Macaca fascicularis: one gene and its partners. The protein of the gene in region 1 interacts with the protein of each later gene in a pairwise test. Links are inferred from orthologs where the notes say so. Each region holds a gene or a part of one and is shown in the gene's direction. Other genes may lie near its edges. The genes, in order: TXLNB, KRT15, NMI, CEP57L1, cancer/testis antigen 55, LURAP1 and USHBP1.

Region 1 (3,500 bases):
CTCACTCTCTACTCAGGAAGGTTTGAAGAATTCCAGAGCACGCTAACAAAAAGCAATGAGGTGTTTGCCACTTTCAAACAGGAAATGGACAAAGTGAGTATTGCTTATCACCAACAAAATATTGACATTTTCTATTTTGACAGGCAAATTTCCTTTGGTTTCCTTTTTCTCTCACTAGGATATTTTGGTGCATTTCACAAAGTAATGAAATGTTTATAAGTAGGAATGAGGTTTGGGTTGTATTTTTTAATTGGTAAGTATCTAGTGTATTAATCTTAGCAGGAGTACAAAAATTCTAGGTTACATTTTCACTCTGAGAAAGAATAGTTCTTTTTCTAACCCATGGATAACTTAAAAAAAAAAAAAAAAAACAGAGCTAGCAATTTAACATTTTGTTGTATATACTAAAGTCAAAATATAACCTTCTAAGAATTAAAAAAAAAAAAAAAAAATTTGGCCTGGCGCAGTGGCTCATGCCTACAATTCCAGCACTTTGGGAGCCCAAGGCGGGCGGATCACAAGGTCAGGAGTTTGAGACCAGCCTGGCCAAGATGGTGAACCCCGTCTCTACTAAAAACACAAAAATTAGCCGGGCATGGGGGCACGTGCCTGTAATCCCAGCTACTCAGGAGGGTGAGGCAGGAGAATCACTTGAACCCAAGAGGCGGAGGTTGCAGTGAGCGAGATCATGCCACTGCACTCCAGCCTAGGCAACAGAGCAAGACTCTGTCTCGAAACAAAACAAAACAAAAAAAACCTTTATACAAATATACAAAAGAATGTTAGAATAGGAAATGCCATCTTACAAGAACCTTCTTAGAAGAAAACGTAACTTATATAATATGATTTAACTGACAGAGCCTTGAATGAGAAGATGAAAGCCTGAATTCAATTCTCCAGTGGTGTTAGACAATTCACTTAACTTCCTGAATCTAATTTACTTTTTTTTGAGATGGAATTTTGCTTTTGTTGCCCAGGCTAGAGTGCAATGGCGCGATCTCGGCTCACTGCAACCTCTGCCTCCCGGGTTCAAGCGATTCTCCTGCCTCAGCCTCCCAAGTAGCTGGGATTACAGGCATGCACCACCATGTCTGGTTAATTTTATAGTTTTAGTAAAGATGGGGTTTCACCATGTTGGTCAGGCTGGTCTCGAACACTTCACCTCATGTGATCCGCCCACCGCGGCCTCTCAAAGTGCTGGGATTACAGGCATGAGCCACCACTCCTGGCCTCTAATTTTTTTTTTTTTTTTAATCTATGCAGATACCACTTTCCCCTGCCTAACTCACAAGATTGTGAACTTAAATTAATGTATTTTGGAAGGGATTTAAACTTTTTACAATTATTTTTCAAATATGAGGTGCCAGTATTATTATTTAATGTAATGTTTAAAGCTTGTTCAGTGTCTTCCCAATACAAAATCAGCATCAGAACTGTGTTTCTGAACAGGGATTGGCATTAATGGTTTTGAAGTGTAGAAAACATCCTCTTAAAATATATTTTTAAAATACTATGATATATTTTACAATTAAATGAGCAACCTGAAGAAGATTGACACTTGTTAAATGTTACAGTTCTCCCATTGCAGAATAGAACTATCTATTTTCTTAAATTTTTTTTTTTAATTCTAGCATTTTAAGACTGGTATAAATTAGAACAGGAAAAGATGTTTTTACTTCAAAATTATGTACTTTTAAGAGTGGAATAAATATTAAATCAGGAGTTCTTAATCTGGGGTTAGTAGTTGACCTGAGAACTCCCTAGAAATTAGCAAAGAAAGATGCACATATGCACATTTTTGTGAAGTGTGGTCCCACAGCTTTCACCACATTCTTAAAAAGATCGATGACCTTAAAGTTTACAAATAACTGGCTGGGCGCAGTGGCTCACGCCTGCAATCCCGGCATTTTGGGAGGCCAAGGCTGGTGGATCACTTGAGGTCAGGAGTTCGAGACCGCCTGGCCAACATGGTGAAACCCTGTTTCTACTGAAAATACAAAAAATTAGCCAGGTGTGGTGGCAGGCGCCTGTAATCCCAGCTACTCAGGAGGTGGAGGCAAGAGAATCGCTTGAACTCGGGAGGCAGAGTTTGCAGTGAGCCGAGATCGCGCCACTGCACTCCAGCCTGGCGACAGAGTAAAAAACAAACAACAACAAAACAAAACAAAAAAACAAGAAAACAACAAAAAAAGAAGTTTACAAACTACTAAACTAAAATATGATCAAAATTAAAAACCTAGCTTCTCTACAGAGCCAGGGGCTGACAGTCTTGGGCCCAGCCTCTGGCCTCCATGGGTACCCAGCCTCAGGCAGCTTGGCACCATGCCACGAGTGCCCAGCTATGTTTCATCCAGGAAAGCTGCATCTGAATACATGCCTTGTTCTCCACTTCATCCAAGCAAAGAAGAGATCCTACAAACAAGAACGTGAGTAGCCTCAGGTTCAAAAAAGACGGGCTGCATTGTATTCACTTCTCACTTCCTCGCACCTAGCCCAGGGCCTGGTGACCACCAGACATTCCATATGCTTCATTAAATGAAATAAAAGAATGGCAGCCCCACTCTTCTGTTAACTCACCTAAATATGACTCTACCTCTCTGAACTGTGGTTTCCACAGTTATAAAATCGGGGCTGAAAATAGAACCTTCCTTGTGGGACTATTTCAAGGATTTTTGTGAACTCTACCTCACTCTATAAATGTAAAGACCCAGAAAATACAGAGGCTGCTTTTGTGCAGCTACTTCTCAGATGTGCCCAGATATTATCAACATTTTAATGGCTAAAAAGGCCATGCCAGCTTTCCCACTGTGATAGTCTTCTGTTCAATACCGTAAACATCCTAAATTACAGGCTTGTTCATGGGACTCCATAAAGATATTCTTCTTTTAAATGAAAGAAAAAGCAGTGACAAAACCATGTGCCCCTAAGTCATTTCCCGTTTCCTGAATTAGCTCGGGTGCAAATAAGTTTGCTCACCACTGCCCTAGCTGGCTCAGAAATAAATCATGGCTCTGCTGCAGTCTTCATTCTTGACATTGAACATTTGTTTGCTTCAGCAGCTGGTAACAAAAGGACTTCTCCTGGTCTCACATATGGAGCTAATAGCTTCCTTGATGTATTAACTCTTCAAGATAAACACTCACACACTCTAATTTCTGTAGACAACTAAGAAAATGAAGAAGCTGGAAAAGGACACAGCCACATGGAAAGCCCGATTTGAGAACTGTAACAAAGCTCTGTTGGACATGATTGAAGAGGTGAGGAAGTTTCTCCCTTAGCTTTAATCCCATCTGTCTAGTCAATATATTCATACTTATGATACAATTATAACCTGATAATAGTACAAATGGTTATGTTTGAAAAGGAGCTGAATTTTCGGTGGAGGGATGTGACATTTTAAATTATAATAAATATAAAAAGAGCAAAGTTCATTTAGAATCAGGTCCAGACTCACAAAGAGCTTTGTGACCCTAAGTCACATCCTTACCTGTTGATTCAAT
Region 2 (4,109 bases), on another chromosome or scaffold:
CAGTCTTACCGTGGTAATTGGTAGAGTCAGGATTTGAACCCGGGCCTCACAGTCTTACCATGGTAATTGATAGAGCCAGGATTTAAACCCCAGGCCTGAGGGACTCCGGAGCCCTGTCCACTTCACCATGCTGCAACCTGGGCTAGGAATCCTCTTCCTGAGTTTCTGTAAGCCCTGGGGCCAGGTCCGGAGGGCCGGGCCACACCTCCAAGAGGCACTGCCCACAGGTGTCAGTTGTCCCTGGAAAGGTGTCCCTGAGCCGGTGGCAGAGAAAAGGGCTCTCCTGAGTGTTCAACTCCCCATCTTTGTGAAGTGATGCCTTGGTCTTCAAGATCTCCAGTGTCTTCCAGCCTGCCCGCCAATCTCCCATCTCTTCCCTTCCACAGCACTCAGGCACATAGAGCCTTCTGCAGCGGCCCCTCCCCAGCCAGCACTTGACAGGACAGATGGGGGCTAATCTGGCCCTGCTAAGCAGCAACATGCTGCTTGGAACTTGCCCCAGCCTTATCAGCGGAGGTCTGCCCCAACACATCCCAGAAGCGAGCAAAGGTTCAGCGCTATGCAGTTGGCAGGTGTCGGGATCATCAGTCATCCCCTTGTCAGCCCCGAGCCTGCTGGGCTTTTGTGAGGGTGCCAGGGACATAGGCTGGAGGCTGGCAGGAGGGGAGTAGAGGTGGGAGGAGGGGAGTCCATCTGCAGCACCAGGGAAGGGATGGATGCTGGCTCCTCTGGTCACCTCAGCTGGAACACTACTCAAGGTCCCTGGCTCCTGTCCTCCAACTGGGGGTCCTGCATTCCCATCCCCAGAGGCCTCCACTCCCCCTGAGCCCTGCAGTCTCTCACTCACTCACAGGGTTTTGAGTTGGATAACACAGTGTAATGATCAAGAAGTGGACTCCCAAACCGAGAACACGGAGCTGTCCCCTTGGGCAGAGGCTCAGGGCTCGGGGCAGTGGAGAAGTCCAGCTGAGGGCACAGTGGCTTGAGCTGCTCTCAGTTCAGCTAGAGGCTTTGGTAGCTGTGCTGTGATGAGAGTTCACTCCCTGCTGCTCTCTTCTGGCATGGAGAGATGAACCTGTAATCCAAGTGTTAAAACCGTGCCCCGGGGGAAAACACTATTAATTCTGAATCATCTCTTTTGTTGCATTAAAAAAAATAGAAGAGAAAAACTTCACACGAGCCACTCAAGGTGTGCAGGCAGCTGTGTTTGTCAGGAAGGCAGAAGGAGTTGGCTTTGCTTTGGGGGAGGAGACGAGGTCCCACAGCACCCTCTGAGGGGAATATAAGGAGCTCCAGAGTGCAGCCTGGCCTGGTACCTCCTGCCAGCGTCTCTTGGGTTTGCTGAGAACTCACGGGCTCCAGCTACCTGACGATGACCACCACATTTCTGCAAACTTCTTCCTCCACTTTTGGGGGTGGCTCTACCCGAGGGGGTTCCCTTCTGGCTGGGGGAGGTGGCTTTGGTGGGGGTAGTCTCTATGGGGGAGGTGGAAGCCGAAATATCTCAGCTTCTTCTGCTAGGTTTGTGTCTTCAGGGTCAGGAGGGGGCTACGGGGGTGGCATGAGGGTCTGTGGCTTTGGTGGAGGGGCTGGCAGTGTTTTTGGTGGAGGCTTTGGAGGGGGCATTGGTGGGGGTTTTGGTGGTGGCTTTGGTGGTGGCGATGGTGGTCTCCTCTCTGGCAATGAGAAAATTACCATGCAGAACCTCAATGACCGCCTGGCCTCCTACCTGGACAAGGTACGTGCCCTAGAAGAGGCCAATGCTGACCTGGAGGTGAAGATCCGTGACTGGTACCAGAAGCAGGCCCCGACCAGCCCGGAACGCGACTACAGCCAATACTTCAAGACCACTGAAGAGCTCCGGGACAAGGTGAGTCCTCAGATGTCAAAGAGAGGGGAGCAGGTGGCTGGTACCCTGTATGTGGCTCTAATGTCGGTGTTACTGCTGACTCGAGGAAATCCTTTCCTGCCCAGGCAACGACTGTCTGGTGTGTAACCTCAGCAAATTTGGAATGCACCTGCTGTCCAGGTGCAGAGGCTAGTGCACATCTTCTCAACTTGGTGGTGCTGGGGGAGGAAGGGAGGGGTCTTGGGAGTCTGGTTAGGACCAACAGGGGCACAGGTGGGGGCAATTATAAAGAGCCAGGGGCAGTAGCTCACACCTGTAATCCCAGTGCTTTGGGGGGCCAAGGTGATAGGACTGCTTGTGTTCAGGAGTTAGAGGCTGCAGTGAGCTAATGACTGTGCCACTGTACTCCGGCCTAGGTGACAGAGTGAGAACCTGTATCTAATGGAAAAAACCAATAATTAAAAAAAAGAGCAGCTCGCCTTCCCTACCTCATGCACCCTGCAGGCTTCTGCATAAAGTATTCCTTCACCTCTTTGGCAAGAATGGGATTGGAGTGTGGCCTCATGAGTCCCAGATGCTAGAACCTCTTGTCTTTTCCTATAAAGAGACCTTTTGTGCCAAAAGTACTGTTGGGTCTTAGGAGACCTGGGAACTCATTACACATTCTGTCACCCACTCACTCACCTTTTTACTCCCTGAGACTGGGTTCTTCATTTGTAAAAGGCCTTCTTTAGCTGCCCTCCAGGTTGCTACTGGCTGGAATGTTCTGTAGATCCATGGCTGTGTCCAAGATGTGCAGGAGGCAGTGACCATGAGCTGTCCACAGGGGGGCTGGTGGAGTGTCTCTGAGAGGGCTATTGTCAGAGCTGACCACACCCCACTCCACCACTCTTCTGGGCAACCAATTCCCACAGGCAGTACTGCCTCCTTGGTCTTTCGTGCCCTGGAGACAAGGAGGGCAACTCCTCAGGTGTCTCAAGGAGGCTGGTATGGGACAAAACCAGAAGTGGACACTCAAGATGCGGCTGGACTCTGCCCACCCCAGAGGCCCTACAGATTTTTGTTGGTGGTGTCAGAGGGGTGATTGTCAGTGAGGGGCTGGCCTTGGGTGCAGAGTGGAGAGCAGCAAGGGAGAGAGAGGAGTCCTCTAGGCACCAACTCTGTCTCCTGCAGATCACGGCCACCACCATCGACAACTCCCGGGTCATCCTGGAGATCGACAACGCCAGGCTGGCTGCAGACGACTTCAGGCTCAAGTGCGCTCCCCCCTCCCTCTCCTCTTCCTGCGTTGCCCACTTTACTTGGCCTTCTCCTGGGTCTGACTCAGGCAGCCAAGACCCCTCCCACTTCCTTCTTTGGCCTCCCTCTCTCTCCTCAGGTATGAGAACGAGCTGGCCCTGCGCCAGAGCGTCGAGGCTGACATCAACGGCCTGCGCCGAGTCCTGGATGAGCTGACCCTGGCCAAGACTGACCTGGAGATGCAGATCGAGGGCCTGAATGAGGAGCTGGCCTACCTGAAGAAGAACCACGAGGAGGTGAGAGCTGGCCCCCATCACCCTTGAACCTGAGAGAGGTGGGGAACTTCTTCCCAAAACGCACTTAAATTGCCCAGAGGGAAAGACAGCGGCTCCAGGAAGCCCTCCCAGATTTTCGCGAGATTAAGTCGGTGGGAGGCAGAGTGGGGCTGCTGGTACTTCCTCATCGTTGGCCTGGGGCTTAGTGGTTCAGAAACACCCCCAAACCCCAAAACCAGGTGTCCTCATGGAGAGGAAGGGGCACTGACCTGTGGTAGCCCAGACCCACAGCCAGGCCAGGTGGCCAGTACGAATGACTGACTTCCTCATTGGCTTTGTGAGCTCACATCAGGGCCCTACAGTCTCGGGGTCCTCCCTTTGGTAGGACCTAGAGCAGCAGAGAGCTCCTCAGAGTTGAGGGGTCCATGTGACCGAACCTCTTCATGTGCAATAGGGAACATCGGTTGGGGTGCGTTAGGGGCAGAGCCAGGATTGGCATGTGGGACCCCAGACTCAGGTTTCTCTTCTGCTCTCCGTCTCTAAATGGGCCCCTCCCACCCTGCAGGAGATGAAGGAGTTCGGCAGCCAGCTGGCCGGCCAGGTCAATGTGGAGATGGACGCAGCACCGGGCGTGGACCTGACCCGCGTGCTGGCAGAGATGAGGGAGCAGTACGAGGCCATGGCGGAGAAGAACCGCCGGGATGCTGAGGCCTGGTTCTTCAGCAAGGTGGGCCTGATCTCCTGCC
Region 3 (2,995 bases), on another chromosome or scaffold:
AGTGGAATTATACAATATTTGTCCGTTTCATGTCTGTCTTATTTTGGTTAGCATAATGTTATCAGGGTCCATCCATGTTGTGGTAGGTATCAGAATTTCATCCTTTTTAAAGGCTGAATAATATTCTCCATGTGTGTGTGTGTATGTGTGTGTGTGTGTATTTTATATATCCATTTTGTTTATCTATTCATCTGTTGGTGGACACTTGGGTTACTTCCACCTTTTGCCTATTGGCCTATTGTGAAAAATACTGCTCTGAGCATTAATGAGCAAGTATCTGCCTGAGTCCCTGCTTTCAGTTATTTCGGGTATATACCCTGAAGTTGAATTGCTGGATCATATCATGTTCTATTTTTAATATTTTGGGGAACTGTCATACTGTTTTCCACAGTGGCTGTACCATTTTACATTCCTACCAGCAATGCCTCAGGGTTGCAATTTCTCCATATCCTCGCCAATAAGGGCCTACACTCTTAATCATCGTACCGTATTGCTGATTGATCCAAGGTAGATGAGTGAGAAGAGTCATAAAAAAGATGGTTGGATATTCCTAAGAACTGTTTCTGTTACACGTTACAGTCTTGATACACATCCTTTCATCCCTCTAGGAGACAAAAATACTGCTAAAAAATAGACTATTCTTTGTGTTGTAGAAAACTGATGAATTTTTATTTCCTTTCAGCTTTTCTAGATGACATTCAGTCCCCTCCCTGCTTTGGTTAACATCATTACTTAAGTTTATTGAATATATGGAAAAAATATTTTTTTAATAGTATTCTAATCATAGTTTTCACTTATAGCTTTTGAGAAACTGGGAAACATTCCAGTCTTGTTAGATGAGTGGGTTACTTTCTGCAAAAAACTATCGTATTTTTTGTAGCTCAAAGTAGATCTGTCTGAGGACATTGCAACCCTTTGTGCATTGATTGACTGCAGTGAATAATTCAAGATGGAATGAAGCTTTTAAACCTCATTATTGTTTGGTCTTGTAGTTTTCAAAATTATGTACTGTGAAGTCTTCAAAGTGGGTTTTAGAATTTCTTAAAAATTAATCTTTTAACTCAGTATTTACTGTAATAGTGCTCTTTTTGAAGGAAGTTTTAACTTTGGTTAAAAATGTTTGTGATATAAAAGAGACAAGTATTGTTTTTGCTTTGCTTTTAGTTGCTGACAAGATTTTGAAAAAGAAAGAATATCCTCTTTATATAAATCAAACCTGCCATAGAGTTACTGTTTCTCCATACACAGAAATACACTTGAGAAAGTATCAGGTAAAGTCATCTCTTTTCTCTCATTTTGAGAACTTACTGCCCAAACCCACCCTACAAAAAATAAAGTTGTTGTGAGTCTGTTACTATATGAATCTTATCAATGAGGGATAGCCAAATGGTTTCTTTACTTCATTTTTGCTTAGTGCAAAATGAGTTTGTCTTTTGAAGGAGTGTTTTAATGCAAAACAGTACTTTAGTATACCATTTAAAAAACTGGAATTACTCAGATAATGGCACAATTTTTATTTTTGTACATGGAGACATAGCTGCATTTCTCTCATGTGTCTACTGTCAGTGAGCATGAGAAAGAATTCCTGCCTACTTCCTCTGAACTCAGTATCTTTATCCCAGACCTGCTGCCTTTTCTCTTCCTTCTCAGGTATCCAATGGTACCACCATCTACCTAGTCCACTGACTTAAAAGCTAGAACTCACTTAACTCTTCAGTTTGCTTCACCTCCAACATTCATTTGGTCACTAAATCTTGCCAGCTCCGCTTCTGACTACCTCTTTACCTGGTCCTTCTGTTCCCAGAGCATCCCACCTTTCCTCTATGTTCCATAATGCCACCAGAGTTCTTTTTCTAAAACTGTCCCCAGAGCTTCCCCCCTTTCCTCTATGTTCCATAATGCCATCAGAGTTCTCTTTCTAAAACTCAGATCTGACTTGGATATTCTCTTGCTTGGAAAATCTTCCTAAGATTTCTTGTGTCTTCTAAGATAAAGTAAAAAATATTAAGCAGATTATGAATGTAAAGTTTTGTAATTCAAAGCTCTCAGAAATCTTTCTATTTATCATTGTTTTTCCTACTTAGATATTTTCAGGAACATCTAAGAGGACAGTGCTTCTGACAGGAATGGAAGGCATTCAAATGGATGAAGAAATTGTGGAGGATTTAATTAACATTCACTTTCAACGGGCAAAGAATGGAGGTGGAGAAGTAGATGTGGTCAAGTGTTCTCTAGATCAACCTCACATAGCATACTTTGAAGAATAGACTTAACAGAATCATGAAAACTATAGCTTTTTAACGCAGATTACTGTAAATGTTTGACAAAAATAAATATGCTTTTCCTTAAAAAAATGAAAACTTTAATTTTTATCATCCATTTATTTTTAGATACAAAACTTATTTCCATGTGTCTGAATCTTCATTGTTTCAAATGGTGCTTGCTGCATGTTTTCAATTACAATAAATGCACTGTAATAAAAGGTTTTGTTTATAGATTATGTATATTGGTGCCATGTCTGCTGAAATCAACCTTAAGTGATTCAGATGTCCCCTGCTAGTGCTGGCTTATCCTGTTATGGTCTTGTGGGCCAATTCAGTTGTGAATGGCAGACCATGCCCACCAATATGCAGACTTGACTCTTAACATTTTCCAAAACAAAGGCAGTTACATTCAGCAGTTTGTGATTCCTGTAAACTCAACTGAAGATTCGAAGGACTCCAAGAGCAACAATTTTCCACTGTGTGTAGTGTTTCACTCCACAACTCTAAAGCTTCTCAGAGCTGAGCATGGTCTTTTTCTTGAATTTTTGTTCACGCAAGTGCCATGTGTCCCTTGATTCCTTCCAAGCCATCCCCTCTCCAAATAGAGCTCGTAAAGGACTAGCTTTTTCTTTCTTTTGCACTTACAATGGAAACAGTTGGTATAAGAGTTTGAAAACCTTGGCATGGAGAGAGAGGTAAATACAAAGTTAGTGACTCATCACTCATCATGC
Region 4 (3,395 bases), about 30 Mb from region 1:
ATCATATGCGTAGATTCATGTCACTATCACAACAATCAAGATACAGAACTCTTCCACCACTAAAAGACTCCTTCATGCAATCCCTCTATAGCTACACATCCCCTTCCCTGAACATTGGCAACCTCTAATCTGTTCACCATCTGTATATTTTATTATTTCAATATTATTATATAAATGGAATTATACAGTATGTAACTTTTTGAGATTGGCTTTTTTCCCTTGAGGTCCATCCAAGTTGTTGTATGTATCAATACATCCTTTTTATTTCTGCATGATATTCCGCATTACAGATGTACCACAATTTAACTGTTCATCTGTTAAAGGATATCTGGAGTCCGGCATGGTGGCTCATGCCTGTAATCCCAACAGTTTGGGAGGCCAAGGCGAGTGCATCATTTGAGGTCAGGAGTTCAAGACCAGCCTGGCCAATATGGTGAAACCTCGTCTCTACTAAAAATACAAAAATTAGCCGGGCAGTAGTGGCACACACCTGTAATCCCAGCTACTTGGGAGATTAAGGCAGGATAATCGCTTGAGCCTGGGAGACAGAGGTTGCAGTAAGCCAAGATTGTACCATTGCACTCCAGTATGGGTGACAGAATGAGACCCTGTCTCAAAAAAAAAAAAGGATATTTCGATTGTTTCCAATTTTTTAGCTATTACAGATAAAGCTGCTATGAACATTTGTATACATGTTTTTATGTGAACATAAGTTTTCATTTTTCTAGGATAAATGCCTAAGAGAGCAATTGTTGGGTGATGTAATAAGTACATTTTTAGTTTTATAAGAAACTGCCAAACTGTCTTCCAAAATGGCTGTACCATTTTGTATTCCCACCAACAATATGTGAGTGGTTTTATTTTCTCTGCATGCTTGCCAACATTTGGTATTGTCACTATTTTTTATTTTGGCCATTCTGATGGATGTGCAGTGATATTTCACTAATTTTAACTTTCATTTCCATAATTAATGATGTTAAATATCTTTTCATATGTTTGCCATACATATGTCTTTGTCAGTGAAATTTCTGTCCATGTCTTTTTGCCCATTTTCCAGTTGCATTGTTTTCTGTTGAGTTTTGAGAGTTCTTCATATCATAAATAACTTTTAAAATAATTTCTTATTTATGTTTTTTTCTTGTCAATCTCTAGAAAACTAAATGTATAAAGAGAGGACCACCTTGGCAAATTTGTTCAAAGTTTGGAGCACTGCCTTTTGTGGCTGAAAAGGTGAGAGGGGATAAAATGAAGATAGTTGTTCAAAAAAACTCCTGTTTCATTGTAAGTGCTATTAAAATATCTTCAGTCATTTAAAATTATTCTCAGTTGTTTCTTTTCCCATAAGTCCACCAGTGCAAACTGTTCTGTGAATGCAAGTATGCAAAACCTTTTGCAGAGGAGGCAACATCGTGGCCCACATATCCTTCAGAAACCTTTTAACGTGGCTGAGACTAGATGTCTCCCCAGGCCTTCTAGAACAACTTCCTGGTGTAAGGCTATTCCTCGTGACTCAGAAAAGTCCATTTCCATTTGTGACAATTTATCTGAACTTTTGATGGCAATGCAAGATGAGCTGGACCAAATGAGCATGTAAGTATTTATATTTTTTTTTTTTAAGAGACAGTGTCTTGCTATGTTGCCCAGGCTAGTCTTGAACTCATGGTTTCAGGCAGTCCTCCTGCCTCAGCCTCCCAAAGTGCTGGGATTACAAGCGTGAGCCATCGTGCCTGGCCAGCAATTTTTATTCTTTATCAGGAGAAGTACCATATCACTTTTTCTTCTTAGTCTTAAGAACAATACCACTTATAAATTCTTAAAGGCCTTACTTAGCCATTTGGAAAGATTTGTTGTCACTATTTTTCATTGTATTTGTTACTATTTAAAATTTCAGTTCTTTATAACTCCTACTTTTTCATTCTAAGGTATTTCTGTATTCCCAAGATCTGGACTGATAGCTACTACTGTCATTCTAACATATAGGATCTGATGACCTTAGATTAAAACTCACAAAAGCGTTTATAAGAAAAGCTCTCCTTTTGTGTTTTAGAATCTTTTAGCTGAATGAATTATTTAATTAGACAAGTAGGAATGTAATTCCTTGTTTTAGACTCTGGCTGGTCTGCATTACAAATTTTGAAGCATCTATAGTAAGGAAGATTTCCATATGGGATACATTATATTGTGCCCACTTGCTTAAATATATATTCAATAGAAATTCCAGAACTATGTGATTTGGCTGACCAGCTAGTTGACCTAAGACATCTGTAGAAGATACAGCTGTTTCTGTTAACAGCATTTCAGTAGGCTAACTCCAAATCCAGAAATTTTTCAGGCAAATACTTCCACAGCTGGAATTCTTCCAAAGATCCTATGTCAATAATGAGGAAGAAAGCCCTTTAATACCTCTGTTAAAGACATCACACATTTTACTACATTGAGCTATGAGCATCAGGAATTCACATATTTTTTAAAGTTGCTTAGCAGTCTTAAGATATTTGTAAAGGTATTTAATTTCAAATCACAGGAGCCTGGTTATAGTTACTGTAGATTTAATTAAACAACCTTAAAGAAAGACGCTGTTTTTAAAGGTTAATATTTAAGTCTGACTAAAATTTATGATTGAACAGAAAATTGCTTAATTATGGCAAAGACATATATGCAATAAACTATAGTAGTGCTTAATATTTGCTATTCTTTCATAGGGAGCACCAAGAACTACTGAAACAAATGAAGGAAACTGAAAGCCATTCAGTCTGTGACAACATAGAATGTGAACTAGAGTGTTTAGTCAAGAAAATGGAAATTAAAGGAGAACAAATCTCCAAACTGAAGAAGCATCAAGACAGTGTAAGAAGGCTTTACTAAGAGATTTTAATAAAAAGATAAAACGTGGATTCAGTGTTGTATCTCTGTACGACTTTCCAAATTTGAGGTCTGTATATGGGATTTAGTGAAAAGATGGATGGTAATCACTTAGGCCTATGACAGAATAGAGCCATCTGTCCCACTGGAATAACATGGACCTCCTACGTAACTCTCCAAGTTAAAATTTTTTAAGTGAACAAATAGGTTCAGTTATGTATTCAGAAATTGCTTTGGGGAAATTGTGAGGTAAACTAAACTTGCCTTAGCAGCCCTCCAATTACCCTTTTAGCATTCTTTTTCCTCTTCCTTCTCTCCTCTAATGCTTTAATGATACCCCTTATGTCAGCAGGTCTCTTATTCACTACCAGACATAAACCTGGCTCCTAAGCAGTGCCCCAGTCCTTAAAGCATGATTTCCTCTTTCCCAAAACAGGCTGTGTTGTGTTCCATTCCCTGGGGACCTATACTCAGCTAGCTATAGTGAGTAGGACAGGGATGGTGAGGAAAACTCTATACTTCTGTTAAGATGT
Region 5 (4,131 bases), on another chromosome or scaffold:
CTTCAGGGACTTTACACATCATGGACAATAAAAGTGAAAGGACTTCCAGTGTCCCACTATCCCACATGCAGCCTGAACCTCTATTACCTCTTTTACCATACTTCCTACTCTTCTAGCTATTCACTGCCTCTGCTCTAATCACTTGGCTTTTCCTTGAGTACATCAGGCACAGTCTTGCTGTATGGTCTTTGCACAAACTGCACCCTCCATCTGAACGGCTCCCACCAAAATAGCTGCCTGGCTAACTCCAACATCTTTCTCAACTATTGCTTTCCAATGAGGGCTACTCTGACCATGCTATTGTAAAGTGCAATCCAACCCCCCATGCCCAGCACTGTGGATCTCCCTTGTCCTGCTATATTTTTCCTCGGCATTTATTGCCTTCCAACATATCATATATTTTATTATGTGATGCTTAGTGTCACCCTTTTGTCATCCTGTGAAAAAACTACCCTCACGGGGTGAAGATTCTTGACTCTTTCATTCACTAACAAATTTTAAGAACACAGAACAGTGTCTGGCTCACAGTTAGTGCCCTACGAGTTTTGCTGAATGAATGAATAAGGGTAATGTGTATAGCAGAGTAATGTAAGTATAACCAGGTAAGCGATGAGTTCATGGTAGCAATGATCATAAAAGGATTCTATTATAAATTATCACTGGACTCAAAATGGGAGTCCTAGCACAAAAGACACGTACTTGCCATCACTAAAACATTGCCTACCCAAATGATGCCTTTTCTCCACAAAATTGATCCCTGGTGAGGACTAACTATTGACTGCCCACTGAGTGGTGACTCCTTATACTAAGCACCACGAATACAGGGGCAAGAGAAGGATGTTTGGCTGCACAGACGGTGTTTTAGGCACCCATCCTCCCAGGGAACCCAAGAGAAGAGCCCTGTACCTCCTTAGTATATGGAGAACCCAAGCTCCCAAGCCATTTCCCCCAGGCCATCCTAATGGCACCCTCAGCCTTGGTGGGAGAAGCGACGATGTTCCCACCCATCACCTTTTAATAGCCACAGGAACCTGCCCGCCCACCCACTGCACGCCCATTGGCTGGACAGTGGTAGAGGCGAGCCCTGATGAGCGCATGCTCAGAGGGAGAAGTCAGAGGGGAACCTGGGAGCTCCTTTGGAGGCTGCGATGTCCCTGACTCTCCCAAGGGGGGCTCACTATCGGCTGGGTCCCATGCCACAGAGGCTGAGGAGGAGAAGCAGGAGGTGAGTCCCTGAGGAGACGCCGTGACCTGAGGGCTTCCCTTACTGAGGAGACTTCGTGCTTCCTCTGTCACAAGCGGTGCCCAGGCTGGTGGTGACAACTGGGACGATGCTCAGGCTTCTGAGACTTGCTTTGGCCTTCTACGGGAGAACGGCCGACCCTGCAGAGCAACAGGGCCCACAGCAGCAGGGGCTCCCACAAGGTATTCCTCTGTGTGTCCACTTTTCCCCCACCCCAGAAGCCTCCCAGTAGGGGTTCTCCTCACCCCTGGAATGAGGCTGTGGTAACTCGGGCGGGTACAGCATGTGACGGCGGCTCCATCTTGTGTGTGCATGGGGAGGCAACCCTAGTCCTCAACAAGTCCCTGAGAACCAACTCCCAAACTCTCCTGTCCATCTAAAGCGGGAAAGGTGTTGACAGAGAAGACCTTGGGGGCTGTACCTCCTGTGCTTTCCCCCCACGTGGTTGTGCAGCACATGCCTATTTATATTTCCAGTAGGCGAGAAACTCCCTAATTTGCGAGTGAATTTAGGCTTGTATCCCAAATGGGAATGTAATTTGAAGCCAAGTTGATACCTTATACTTATCCGATCCCGAAGGCACAGAACTCCTGTGGGGCAACTGCTGAGGTTTGATCCCTAAGTATTGCTGATCAGCTAGGCTTGTGCAGAACAAAAAAAGAAAGAAAAGAAGAAGGAAAAAAAAATAAAGAAAACCATTCAGATGCCGTTTTGGGCTAGCCTTCAATCTCCAGATATCTTTTAGTCTGCTGAGACAGTTAAGTATCTATAGAAAGTGCTACTCATCATAATTGGTGATAATGATGAAGGAACATAATAGGAGCAGAAGCTTGACTCATATGTAGACATGGTGCTAACAGGTAACATTTACACACTCTTGTGCAAGGCACTCACAGCTCTCGACAGTTGGTGTGTATGTTAATATTAATATTCACAAGCTGGGCTCGGTGGCTCACACCTGTAATCCCAGCTCTTTGGGAGTTCCAGGTAGGTGGATCACTTGAGGCCAGGAGGTGGAGACCAGACTGGGCAACATGGCTAAACCCCATCTCTACTAACAATTCAAAAATTAGCTGGGTGTGGCGGCACACACCTGTAGTCCCAGTTGCTTGGGAGGCTGAGACATGAGAACCGCTTGAACCTGGGAGGCGGAGGTTGCTGCTAGCCCAGATTGCGCCACTGCACTGCAGCCTTGGTGACAAAGCCAGACTCTGCTCAAAAAATTAAAAAATAATTTAAAATTTTAACATTTAAATTTTGATAAATTTTTAAAAATATTTTAAAAACCTACAACAACCCTATTAGTCGAAATTGTGATTGTTGTGGATTGACAGATGAAAACGAGGTCAGAGATGTTATAAAACTTCTCTGTCCAGGGTTATGCAGATGGTGAGTGTAAGACTTATTTGTAGTAGGTGTTTGCATTTGAGGCCAATAATATGACCTAGTTTCTTTATCTTGTAGGTGACACCCAGTTGAAAACTGTGCAGGGAGTTGTCACAAGTTTCTGTGGTGATTATGGCATGATTGATGAGTCGATCTTCTTCAGTAGTGATGTTGTGAGTGGCAACGTGCCTCTAAAAGTTGGACAAAAAGTAAATGTGGTTGTGGAAGATGATAAACCACTTTATGGATTCAGAGCAATCAAGGTGAGATGTGCATGAGTTTGGAAATTGTGTCTTATCCCAGTGGGCTTTCTTTCTGCATCTTTCTTTTCTTGTATTAATCCAACATCTCTGCTGTGATCCGTAGAGGGGATGTAGACCGCAATTTGAAGCCCCACCCCTCTGAATCTGTGGGTTCTTCTGTTCTAATAGTTGTAGTAATTTGTGCTGTAAAACATAAAAATTACTTATCTATTATTCTAATCTTTGAACAATATGAGTAACAATAATAATTATTGAACTCTTTATAATCCTGCAACTTCCCTTATCAGGTAAAAAAACATTTTCTGTAGTGCGCATTCATAGCAGTGGAATTTCTATGTCAAACCATGTGCGATGTAAATATTTTAAAAAGAGCTTCATGGAATTATAATTCCATGAAGAATGTCATTTGTATTTTCATAGGAGTTGCATTGAATCTGTAGATTGCTTTAGGTTACGGACATTTAACAATATTTATTCTTCCTGTCCATGAACATATGATGTATTTTCATTCATTCCTGCCTCCTTCAATTTCCTTTGTCAATGGTTTATAGTTTTCAGTGTTGCAATCCTTCACCTCCTTGGTTAAATTTATTCCTATTTTAATTTTTTTGAAGGTGTTGTAAATGGGATTGTTTCTTGATATCTTTCTCAGATAGTTCCCTATTGTTATATAGAAATGCTACTGATTCTTGTATGTTGTTTGTGTGTCGTGCCACTTTCCTGAATTTGTTTATTAGACCTAGTAGCTTTTTGGTGATGTTTTCAGGGTTATTTATATATAAGAGCTTCCCGTCTGCAAACAGGGTCAATCTAAATTCTTCCTTTTGAATTTGGATGCCTTTCGTTTCTTCTTGCCTAATTTTTCTGGCTAGCACTTCCAGAAGTATGTGTGATAGAATGGGCAAAAGTGGGCATTTCTGTCCTGTTCCCGGTCTTAGAGGAAAAGCCTGGAACATTTCCCCATTCAGTATGTTGTTACCTGTGGGCTTATCATGTATGACCTTTATTGTGTTGAGGTGCACTCCTCCTATATCTAATTTGTGGAGTTTTTAATCACGAAGGAGTGTGGAATTTGATCAAATTCTTATCCTGCTTAAATTGGAATGATCCTATGACTTTTGTCCTTTATTCTGTTCATGTGATATAGCACATTTATTGATTTGTGTATGTAGAAAATTCCTTGCTTCCCAGGGCTGAATCCCTCTAGAACATGGTGAATGATTTTTTTAATGTGCTGTG
Region 6 (3,926 bases), on another chromosome or scaffold:
GTAGGGCAGGGGTAACTATCTTCTCATTGTAAATCCTTCTGCAACCACGGGCTGGAATTACTTGAATTACAAGCCTACACAAACCAAAGTTTTCATGACTGTTCATTACCTGTTAAATAAAACCCAAACATCTCAGAACCATCTTCTGTAACCTTGTTATCAAAGTGTGGTCCCTTATTACTTGAAGCGTGGACCAGCAGCATGGCCATGACCTGGGAGCTTATTAGAAATGCAGGATCTTGGCGGGGCCCAGTGGCTCACACCTGTAATCCCAGTACTTTGGGAAGCCGAGACAGGCAGATCACTTGAGATCTGGAGTTCAAGACCAGCCTGGCCAACATGGTGAAACCCCGTCTCTACTAAAAATACAAAAATATTAGCTGGGCGTGGCGGTGCATGCCTGTAATCCCAGCTACTCAGGAGGCAGAGGCAGGAGAATCGCTGGAACCGGGGAAGGCAGTGGTTTGCAGTGAGCCGAGATCGTGCCACTGCACTCCATCCTGGGCAACAGAGCAAGACTCTGTCTCAAAAAAAAAAAAAAAAAAAAAAAGGCAGGATCTCAGGCCCCACCCCGATTTACAAAATCAGAACTGCATTTTAATACGATCCGCAGATAATTCATATGCACAGTCAAGTTTAAGGAGGAGGATCTTGCTTGTAAGCTCAATGTGGACCTCTTCAGCTTCAATACTGGTTGCCCCTTTCTACTCCATTAGTCTGAATTCTAGCCCCTGGGGTGTTGTGTGTGTGTCTGACTAAAATCCAGCCATCGTTTTAGACCCAATTCCTCTGCTCCAGGAAGACTTCCAAGCCTTCTGCAGCTCTCTGTTACCACTGTTCCTTAAACTCCCACATCTCTGACTGAAGCTGCTTAGACTTCATTCTGCAAACATGTATTGGGCGCCTGCTGTGTGCCTGGCTGGATTCAGTGCCAGGGTGGGGCGAAGGCGCTGAGGTCTCCGAGTGCTCTTTCAGGTCCAACTCCAGAACCGCCCAGCCCCACGCAATCCAGGGCCGGAGGTTGTGTGCGCAGCACTCGAATATACCCACGGACAGTGCTGCGCGGCTTTTCTGAGTGTTACGGCACCCTCCTGCCGCCCGCGCGGCTCTCGGGCGGGGACCCACCGGTTTTGCTCCGCTTTAGCAGCGGCGAAGGGAGGACCCCCGCGAGCCGGTCCCTGGCGTCCGGTTGCCCAGCCCTTTTCAGGCTTGGGCCCGCATGGAGGGAACCGTGGAGTCCCAGACGCCTGACCTGCGGGATGTGGAGGGTAAGGTGGGCAGGAAGACCCCTGAAGGGCTGCTCCGTGGGCTGCGAGGCGAGTGTGACCTAGGAACCTCTGGCGCCCTGCTGCTCCCAGGGACGCCTAGCACCGGCCACGACTTGGGGGACAAGATCATGGCGCTGAAGATGGAGCTGGTGAGTGCAGACTCCATGGGCCAAGGGGACGAGTCCCCAGTTTAGGGCCAGGAGGGACGAACTCATGCTCTCAGAGTTAAGCTGGAGAGGAGGTAGTTAAAACTCTCCACCTAACTGCTCAGAATCCCTCCCAGATCAATCCGTAAACGCTGGGGTGGAGATGGAGTGACATCCATTAATTGTCCCCCAAGAGTGAGTGGGGGTGTTGATAGGTCCTGAGGAATTGGGGTGGGAGCCGTGGGTTTTGGAAGTTATTCCTGCCAAATAATTGGGAGGAGAGAGATGAGTACTGGGAAGTACTGAGAACCCAACGCAGCACAAATTCCCCCCGCCCGTATGGGCCACCTATTCCCCCCCAGTCCCCGTTGTAAGGCAACCGGTTTTTTCTCCTTCTGCTAACCGGGAAAGGGTTTAGTTCCTGTGAGGCCCGCAGTGTTCAGCACAGAAAAGATGTGGGTAAAGGGGCCTATCTGCTGTAAACTGTCTGGACCAGGGGCACTGAAAACCTTCTCCATTTCCTCTACATCCCCCAGCCCTACTTAAAATAATGGAAAGTTCCTAGACCCATAGCAGGAACAGAGAGTAACAGCACCATTGGTGCTGATTCCCTCACCTCAGACTCAGTCTCCTCCCATCCAATCTCCCAGGTAAACTGGATATTTGGATCTCATCTGCACATTCTTGGGGAGAAGAGGAAACAGCAACCTTCCCGTTTCTCTGTTGCTGCTGGTCTAGATTCAGAGCCAAAAGGGCAGCCAAGGCCCTGGCATGTTCCTCAGGGCCCTGATTCCGGTGAAGTGGGTGATTTACACCTGCCACTACTTTGCAGCCAGTTCTGGGGAACTGAGGAATTGCTATCAGCTTCCTGGCTTACAACCAGGAGCCCACAGTGAATATGTCAGCTAATAAGTCTTTCTGGACCCCCACTGTGTGCGCAGCCTGTGCCAAGCTGGTCTGTGAAGGAGCAGGGGAAGGAAGTCATGGGGGCTCTTAGACCAGCCAGGGCTCTAATGCCTGAGCTGAGAGACTGGGAAGAGAGTCTGGTGGGTGGAGCAGCCAGGAAAGGCCCTCTGGGAGAAGGACTTGAATGCCAAGTGTGCACTTGGCCTTGAAGGTTGGAGGTGAGTGCCAAATTCTCCAGAGCAAGGCTGTGACTGTCCCCACCTAAGCAGGGGTTTGCCTTTGTCTCGCTGTACAAACTTTAGCTCAAGGCCTAGTAAGAGCCTACCTAGACTGTCTAGTTGCTTTGAAAACTAACTTTCACCCAGCACATGTGCCAGGCAGCTTGCTGAGCACTTTACTTGATACTCTCTTCATCTCCACAGTAACCATGTTAAGTAAGTGATATTTTATAGATGAAGAAACTGAGGCACAGGGTGGGCATGGTGGCTCACGCCTGTAATCCCAGCACTTTGGGAGGCTGAGGCAGGCAGATCACTTGAGCCCAGGAGTTTGAGACCAGCCTGGGCAACAAAGCAAGACTCTGTCTCTGCAAAAATTAGATGGGTGTTGTGGTGCATGCCTGTAGTCCCAGCTACTCTGGAGGCAGAGGCAGGGGGATCACTTGAGCCCAGGAAGAGGAGGTTGCAGTGAGCTGAAATCGCACCACTGCACTCCAGACTGGGTGACAGAGCTCAGAGCTAGACCCTGTCTCAAAAAAAGAGAGGGAAGGAGGGAAGGAAGGGAAGAAGGGAGGAAGGGAGGGAGGGAGGATAAAAGAAAAGAGAAAAGAAAACAGAGGCACAGGGAGTTTAATAACTGCCCAAGATCACACAAAAAGCATGGCCATGATTTGAACCCAGATCATCTGACTGCACTTTGCATGTTTACCTTTGAGACCTGCTTTGTGCCAGATAGTCTAAACACATTTTATGTCATTGAAATGAGAAAACTGGTCATCATTTCTCCCATCTTACAGATAAAACATGCTTGCAGATTCTGAACTCACATAGGGAGTCAGTGGAAGAGCCACGCCTAGTCTCTCTGGCTCTCTTTTCTGCCTTGGTGGAAACGATCTGTAAACTTTAAGGGGCTGCATTTAACTTTTGATTTTGTCTCTCTGTATTCTTGACCCTGCTTGCCTGGGGCCTGAGGCTGCCCGAGAAAGGGCACAAGGGAGGGAGCCTTCTGGGGCCAGAACGAGGAGAGATCCCCATCCTATTTTTCTCCCTCCTCAGGACAGGATGTTATTAATATTAATCTCTTCCTGTGCTCTGCCCTGCCTACTGGGTTGCACCCAGGAAGGACAAGCAGTGGGGCAAGGGGTTTCCCTTGGGGCTAATGAAGGCAGGACTGGTTCAAGCCCTCTAAGGACTGTCCTTCAATTGTTCCTCTCCCAGCTTTCCTTGCACAAAGTGGGGAGGCCTACCCTTGAGGCCAAGGTCAGTCCGCCTCTAGGCCTCATCCCTCCTGCTTTCTTCCTCTACCCACCATTCAAAGGTTGAGTGAACAAGCCAGACTGGGATATGTGGGAATGGGAAACAGTGGCAACCTCTTCTTAGTTCTCCCA
Region 7 (4,141 bases), on another chromosome or scaffold:
GGGCTGGTGGGGTGGATGACTCATGCCTGTAATCCCAACACTTTGGGAGGGTGAGGCAGGTGGATCACCTGAGTTCAGGAGTTTAAGAGCAGCCTGGCCAACATGGCAAAAACCCATCTCTAGCCGGGTGCAGTGGCTCACGCCTGTAATCCCAGCACTTTGGGAGGCCAAGGCCGGCGGATTACTTGAGGTCAGGAGTTCAAGACCAGCCTGGCCAACATGGTAAAACCCTGTCTCTACTAAAAACACAAAAATTAACCAGGCGTTGTGGTGGGCACTTGTAATCCCAGCTACTCGGCAGGCTGAGGCAGGAGAATTGCTTGAACCCAGGAGGTGGAGGATGCAATGAGATCGCACCGCTGCACTCCAACCTGGGCGACAGAGCGAGACTCCATCTCAAAAAAAAAAAAAAAAAAAAAAAAAAGAAGGTTGGGCGTGGTGGCTCACGCCTGTAATCCCAGCACTTTGGGAGGCCAAGGCAGGTGGATCACGAGGTCAGAAGATCGAGACCATCGTAGCTAACACGGCGAAACCCCGTCTCTACTAAAAATACAAAAAAATTAGGTGGGCGTGGTGGCGGGTGCCTGTAGTCCCAGCTACTCGGGAAGCTGAGGCAGGAGAATGGTATGAACCCGGGAGGCAAAGGTTGCAGTGAGCCAATATCGCACCACTGCACTCCAGCCTGGGCGACAGAGCGAGAAGAGAACTGTCAGCCCACAGTGAAGAGACAGGCAGAGAAGAAGAGTTCACAGGGGAGCCAAATAAAAGCCATATCAGCTCAGGGGAACATTCTAGCTCTTTTTTTTTTCTTTCTTTTTGAGACAGGGTGTTGCCTTGTTACCCAGACTGGAGTGCAGTGGCGTGACCATGGCTCACTGCAGCCTCAACTTCCAGGTGTTAAGCAATCCTCCCACCTCAGCCTCCCGAGTAGCTGGGACTACAGGCATATGACACCACTCCTGGCTAATTTTTATATTTTATGTAGAGACGGGGGTCTTGCCATGTTGCCCAGGCTTGTCTTAAACTCTTGGGCTCAAGCGATCTGCCTTCCTCAGCTTCCCAGAGTCCTGGGATTACAGGCGTGAGCCATGGTGCTCGGCCCATTCTAGATCTTGAGAAATAAAATCCAAGCGTCAGAGCTAGAAGGGCCATGGGCTTGGAGGCTGAGACGAGGAGGGGCTGAAACCTTGGGAGTCAGGTATGTGTGCCCCGCTAGGGCTGCAGGAAGCTGCTGTCCTCAAAAAGGAAACAACACAATAACAAGTCACATGACCAGGGGAGTGGGTTCCTGTTTCCTGGTCCCTCCCAGGCCAGGCTTGGCCAGCCCAGGCCTGACCAGGCAGTGGCCAGAGTGACCCCAAGACGGCGTCCAGGGACTCAGGCCTCTGATCAAGTTACCCCCAGAAGATCAGAGAGGTAGAGAGCTGAACCCGTCATTTAGGAGGGCCGCGGAGGAGAGGGAATTATTGAGATTGCATTTCCAGGCTCAAAGAGAGGAGGGAAGGGGACAAAGACGTAGTGAAGGTAAAGAAGGCAGAGAAGAAGGGGGAGATCCAGACAACCTTGTTAGGTAGTGAGCTGCCTGTCCAGGAGGCATTCAAATGTGCCCAATCAACATTGATCACAAAATCCCTTCCTGAGGGGTAGTCAATGTCCCATTTCACAGCAGAGGAAATTGAGGTTGTCCTTTGTCCAGGACAACAAAGGCAAGAGGTCATGGCAGGCTGTGGTTTTAGGGGTTGACGAAGGAGAAGCATTCAGAGAGCACTGGCTTCTGGACAGCAATGAGTGCCCGGGCCACGCGGCCCCGAAGCCGGCGAGGGAGGCATGCTCCACCCGTAAGTGTCGCCCTCTCCCCTCCACACCCAGCTCCTGGGGACCCCAAGGTCCCATCCTGCCTGGCTCAGAGCGGGGCCACGGGGGTCATTTGCAGGGTGAACTGGACCCCGTGGCTGAGAGTTCAGAGGAGATTGAGGCAGCCAGTGGGAGCTCCAAGCTCAGCTTTGCCCCACCTCCTGTGAGCTCCGGGCTGGAACAGCTGGGCCCCATGGAGGAGGTCAGTGGCCAAGGCCTAGGAAGCAGGTAAGACCCCCTTGGTCTGTGCCCTTCACTCCAGTCCACATGCATCTTTGCCATCTGCAGATCTGCTGATGTGCCCTCTCTGCTCACACACCTACCATAGCTCCCTGTTGCCTTCAGCCTGACTTTCTTTTCTTTTTTTTGAGTCTTGCTCTGTCACCCAGGCTGCAGTGCAGTGGCACAATCTCCACTCACAGCAATCTCTGCCTCCTGGGTTCAAGAGGGAGCCTCAGCTTCCCGAGTAGCTGGGATTACAGGTGTGTGCCACCACACCCAGCTAATTTTTGTATTTTTAGTGAGACAGGGTCTTGCCACGTTAGCCAGGCTGGTCTTGAACTCCTGACCTCAGGTGATCCCCCCACTTCGGCCTCCGAAAGTGCTGGGATTACAAGTGTGAGTCGCTGCCCCAGAAGACCCCATTTCCAGAATCTTCTGTCTCTCACCTTCAGGACTTTCCCACTGCCCGTCACAGTCCAACTTACTATTCACTCTGCTTCGTAGCCCCAGGTCTCCCCTCCAACTTCTCCACCACCTCTGTCCAGCCTCTTCCCTGAATTCCCAGCCTCCCAGTCTCTCCCTGGGATGCAAGTCCCAGAACACGCAGCTCTTGCCAACTCTGCCCCGCTCACACCTCCCGAAGACCATGAAGTTTAAGCCCTAAGAATTCCCTGCCCTGGGCTGAGCGTTGTGGCCCATGCCTGTTATCGCAGAACTTTGGGAGGCCAAGTCGGGCGAATCACCTGAGGTCAGGAGTTTGACATCAGCCTGGCCAACATGGTGAAACCCTGTCTCTACTAAAAATACAAAAATTAGCCGGGCGTGGTGGTGGGCACCTGTAATCCCAGCTACTTGGGGGACTGAGGCAGGAGAATCACTTGAACCCAGGAGGTGGAGGTTGCAGTCAGCTGAGATCGCACCACTGCACTCCAGCCTGGGCAACAGAGTGAGACTCTGTCTCAAAAAATAAAAAAGAATTCCCTGCCCAGCATGGAGCGACTCAAGTGCCTGAGTTGGTGTCCACAGGACCGACAAGAAGACGGATGGGGGCTCTGGCAGGGGACTGGCCTCAGCCCCCGAGGTGCCCCACAAACCTGCAGTGGAAGCCTACCAGGCCCCAGAAGCAGCCCTACAGTACAAGGAGACTGTGCCCCCTGGGATTGGGGCCCCCGATGTGTTTCAGACCCTCCAGCACGCTCTGAGCTCCCTGGAGGCAGCGGCTGCAGCCTGGCGCCACCGGCCCCCCAGCCATCCTGGGCCAATGGAGTTGGAAGACACAAGCAAAGGGGGACCAGGTCCCCTTGGGAAGCAGGAAGGGGCAGGGAGCAGCCAGCGAGAGGCAGCTCGCCTGGCTGAGAGGAATGCCTGGCTCCGGCTGGCCCTGAGTAGCCGAGAGGATGAGCTGGTCCGCACGCAGGCCTCCCTGGAGGCCATCCGAGCTGAGAAGGAGACGCTGCAGAAAGAGGTGAGTGGGGCCATCCTGAGTCCTATGTGGCTCTCTGTCTGAGGGAGGAGGCAGGCCCGATGTAGGCAATATTCATTCATCTGTTCATTCCAAAAACCTTTTGAGGCTGGGTGTGGTGGCTCACGCCTATAATCCCAGCACTTTGGGAGATGGAGGCAGGAGGATCCTTTGAGGCCAGGAGTTCAAGACCAGCCTGGGCAACACAGCAAGACCCCTACCTCTGCAAAAAATAAAAAATAAAAATCAGCCAGGTTGGCCAGGCACGGTGGCTCACACCTGTAATCCCAGCACTTTGGGAGGCTGAGGTGGGCGTATCACAAAGTCAGGAGTTCAAGACCAGCTTGGCCAACATGGTGAAACCCCATCTCTACTAAAAATAAAAATAAATAAATAAATAAAAGCCAGGTGTGGTGGCATATGCCTGTAATTCCAGCTACTCAGGAGGCTGAGGCAGGAGAATCACTTGAACCCGGGTGATGGAGGTGGCAGTGAGCTGAGATCACATCAATGTACTCCAGTCTGGAGAACAGAGTGAGACTCTGTCTAAAAAAAAAAAAAAAAAAAAAAAAAAAAATCAGCCAGGTTGGCTGGGTGCGGTGG

What was found.
Region 2: the proteins of TXLNB (region 1) and KRT15 interact in binary tests that used the Homo sapiens proteins (3 or more experiments, as listed by UniProt). The two-hybrid records come from large-scale screens. The link is inferred for Macaca fascicularis from reciprocal best matches to the Homo sapiens genes TXLNB and KRT15.
Region 3: the proteins of TXLNB (region 1) and NMI interact in binary tests that used the Homo sapiens proteins (3 or more experiments, as listed by UniProt). The two-hybrid records come from large-scale screens. The link is inferred for Macaca fascicularis from reciprocal best matches to the Homo sapiens genes TXLNB and NMI.
Region 4: the proteins of TXLNB (region 1) and CEP57L1 interact in binary tests that used the Homo sapiens proteins (3 or more experiments, as listed by UniProt). The two-hybrid records come from large-scale screens. The link is inferred for Macaca fascicularis from reciprocal best matches to the Homo sapiens genes TXLNB and CEP57L1.
Region 5: the proteins of TXLNB (region 1) and cancer/testis antigen 55 interact in binary tests that used the Homo sapiens proteins (3 or more experiments, as listed by UniProt). The two-hybrid records come from large-scale screens. The link is inferred for Macaca fascicularis from reciprocal best matches to the Homo sapiens genes TXLNB and CT55.
Region 6: the proteins of TXLNB (region 1) and LURAP1 interact in binary tests that used the Homo sapiens proteins (3 or more experiments, as listed by UniProt). The two-hybrid records come from large-scale screens. The link is inferred for Macaca fascicularis from reciprocal best matches to the Homo sapiens genes TXLNB and LURAP1.
Region 7: the proteins of TXLNB (region 1) and USHBP1 interact in binary tests that used the Homo sapiens proteins (3 or more experiments, as listed by UniProt). The two-hybrid records come from large-scale screens. The link is inferred for Macaca fascicularis from reciprocal best matches to the Homo sapiens genes TXLNB and USHBP1.

The regions. Positions count from the first base shown.
Region 1 is NC_088378.1:43,294,908-43,298,407, reverse strand, and holds part of TXLNB (beta-taxilin), read left to right. Parts: coding exon 1-93; intron 94-3,161; coding exon 3,162-3,257; intron 3,258-3,500. UniProt on the Homo sapiens protein: Promotes motor nerve regeneration. May be involved in intracellular vesicle traffic.
Region 2 is NC_088390.1:62,557,296-62,561,404, reverse strand, and holds the start of KRT15 (keratin, type I cytoskeletal 15), read left to right. Parts: upstream 1-1,309; 5' UTR 1,310-1,372; coding exon 1,373-1,870; intron 1,871-3,022; coding exon 3,023-3,105; intron 3,106-3,227; coding exon 3,228-3,384; intron 3,385-3,928; coding exon 3,929-4,090; intron 4,091-4,109.
Region 3 is NC_088386.1:46,827,282-46,830,276, reverse strand, and holds the end of NMI (N-myc-interactor), read left to right. Parts: intron 1-1,164; coding exon 1,165-1,271; intron 1,272-2,084; coding exon 2,085-2,267; 3' UTR 2,268-2,495; downstream 2,496-2,995. UniProt on the Homo sapiens protein: Acts as a signaling pathway regulator involved in innate immune system response.
Region 4 is NC_088378.1:13,248,794-13,252,188, forward strand, and holds part of CEP57L1 (centrosomal protein CEP57L1), read left to right. Parts: exon of another isoform or gene 1-465; intron 466-1,152; coding exon 1,153-1,230; intron 1,231-1,326; exon of another isoform or gene 1,327-1,345; coding exon 1,346-1,590; intron 1,591-2,702; coding exon 2,703-2,847; intron 2,848-3,395. UniProt on the Homo sapiens protein: Centrosomal protein which may be required for microtubule attachment to centrosomes.
Region 5 is NC_088395.1:141,581,834-141,585,964, forward strand, and holds the start of cancer/testis antigen 55, read left to right. Parts: upstream 1-1,331; coding exon 1,332-1,425; intron 1,426-2,707; coding exon 2,708-2,892; intron 2,893-4,131. UniProt on the Homo sapiens protein: Plays a role in spermatogenesis, possibly acting in the regulation of the autophagy pathway.
Region 6 is NC_088375.1:188,482,537-188,486,462, reverse strand, and holds the start of LURAP1 (leucine rich adaptor protein 1), read left to right. Parts: upstream 1-1,126; 5' UTR 1,127-1,219; coding exon 1,220-1,417; intron 1,418-3,926. UniProt on the Homo sapiens protein: Acts as an activator of the canonical NF-kappa-B pathway and drive the production of pro-inflammatory cytokines. Promotes the antigen (Ag)-presenting and priming function of dendritic cells via the canonical NF-kappa-B pathway.
Region 7 is NC_088393.1:17,583,620-17,587,760, reverse strand, and holds the start of USHBP1 (harmonin-binding protein USHBP1), read left to right. Parts: upstream 1-1,341; 5' UTR 1,342-1,784; coding exon 1,785-1,838; intron 1,839-1,933; coding exon 1,934-2,082; intron 2,083-2,383; exon of another isoform or gene 2,384-3,102; coding exon 3,103-3,541; intron 3,542-4,141.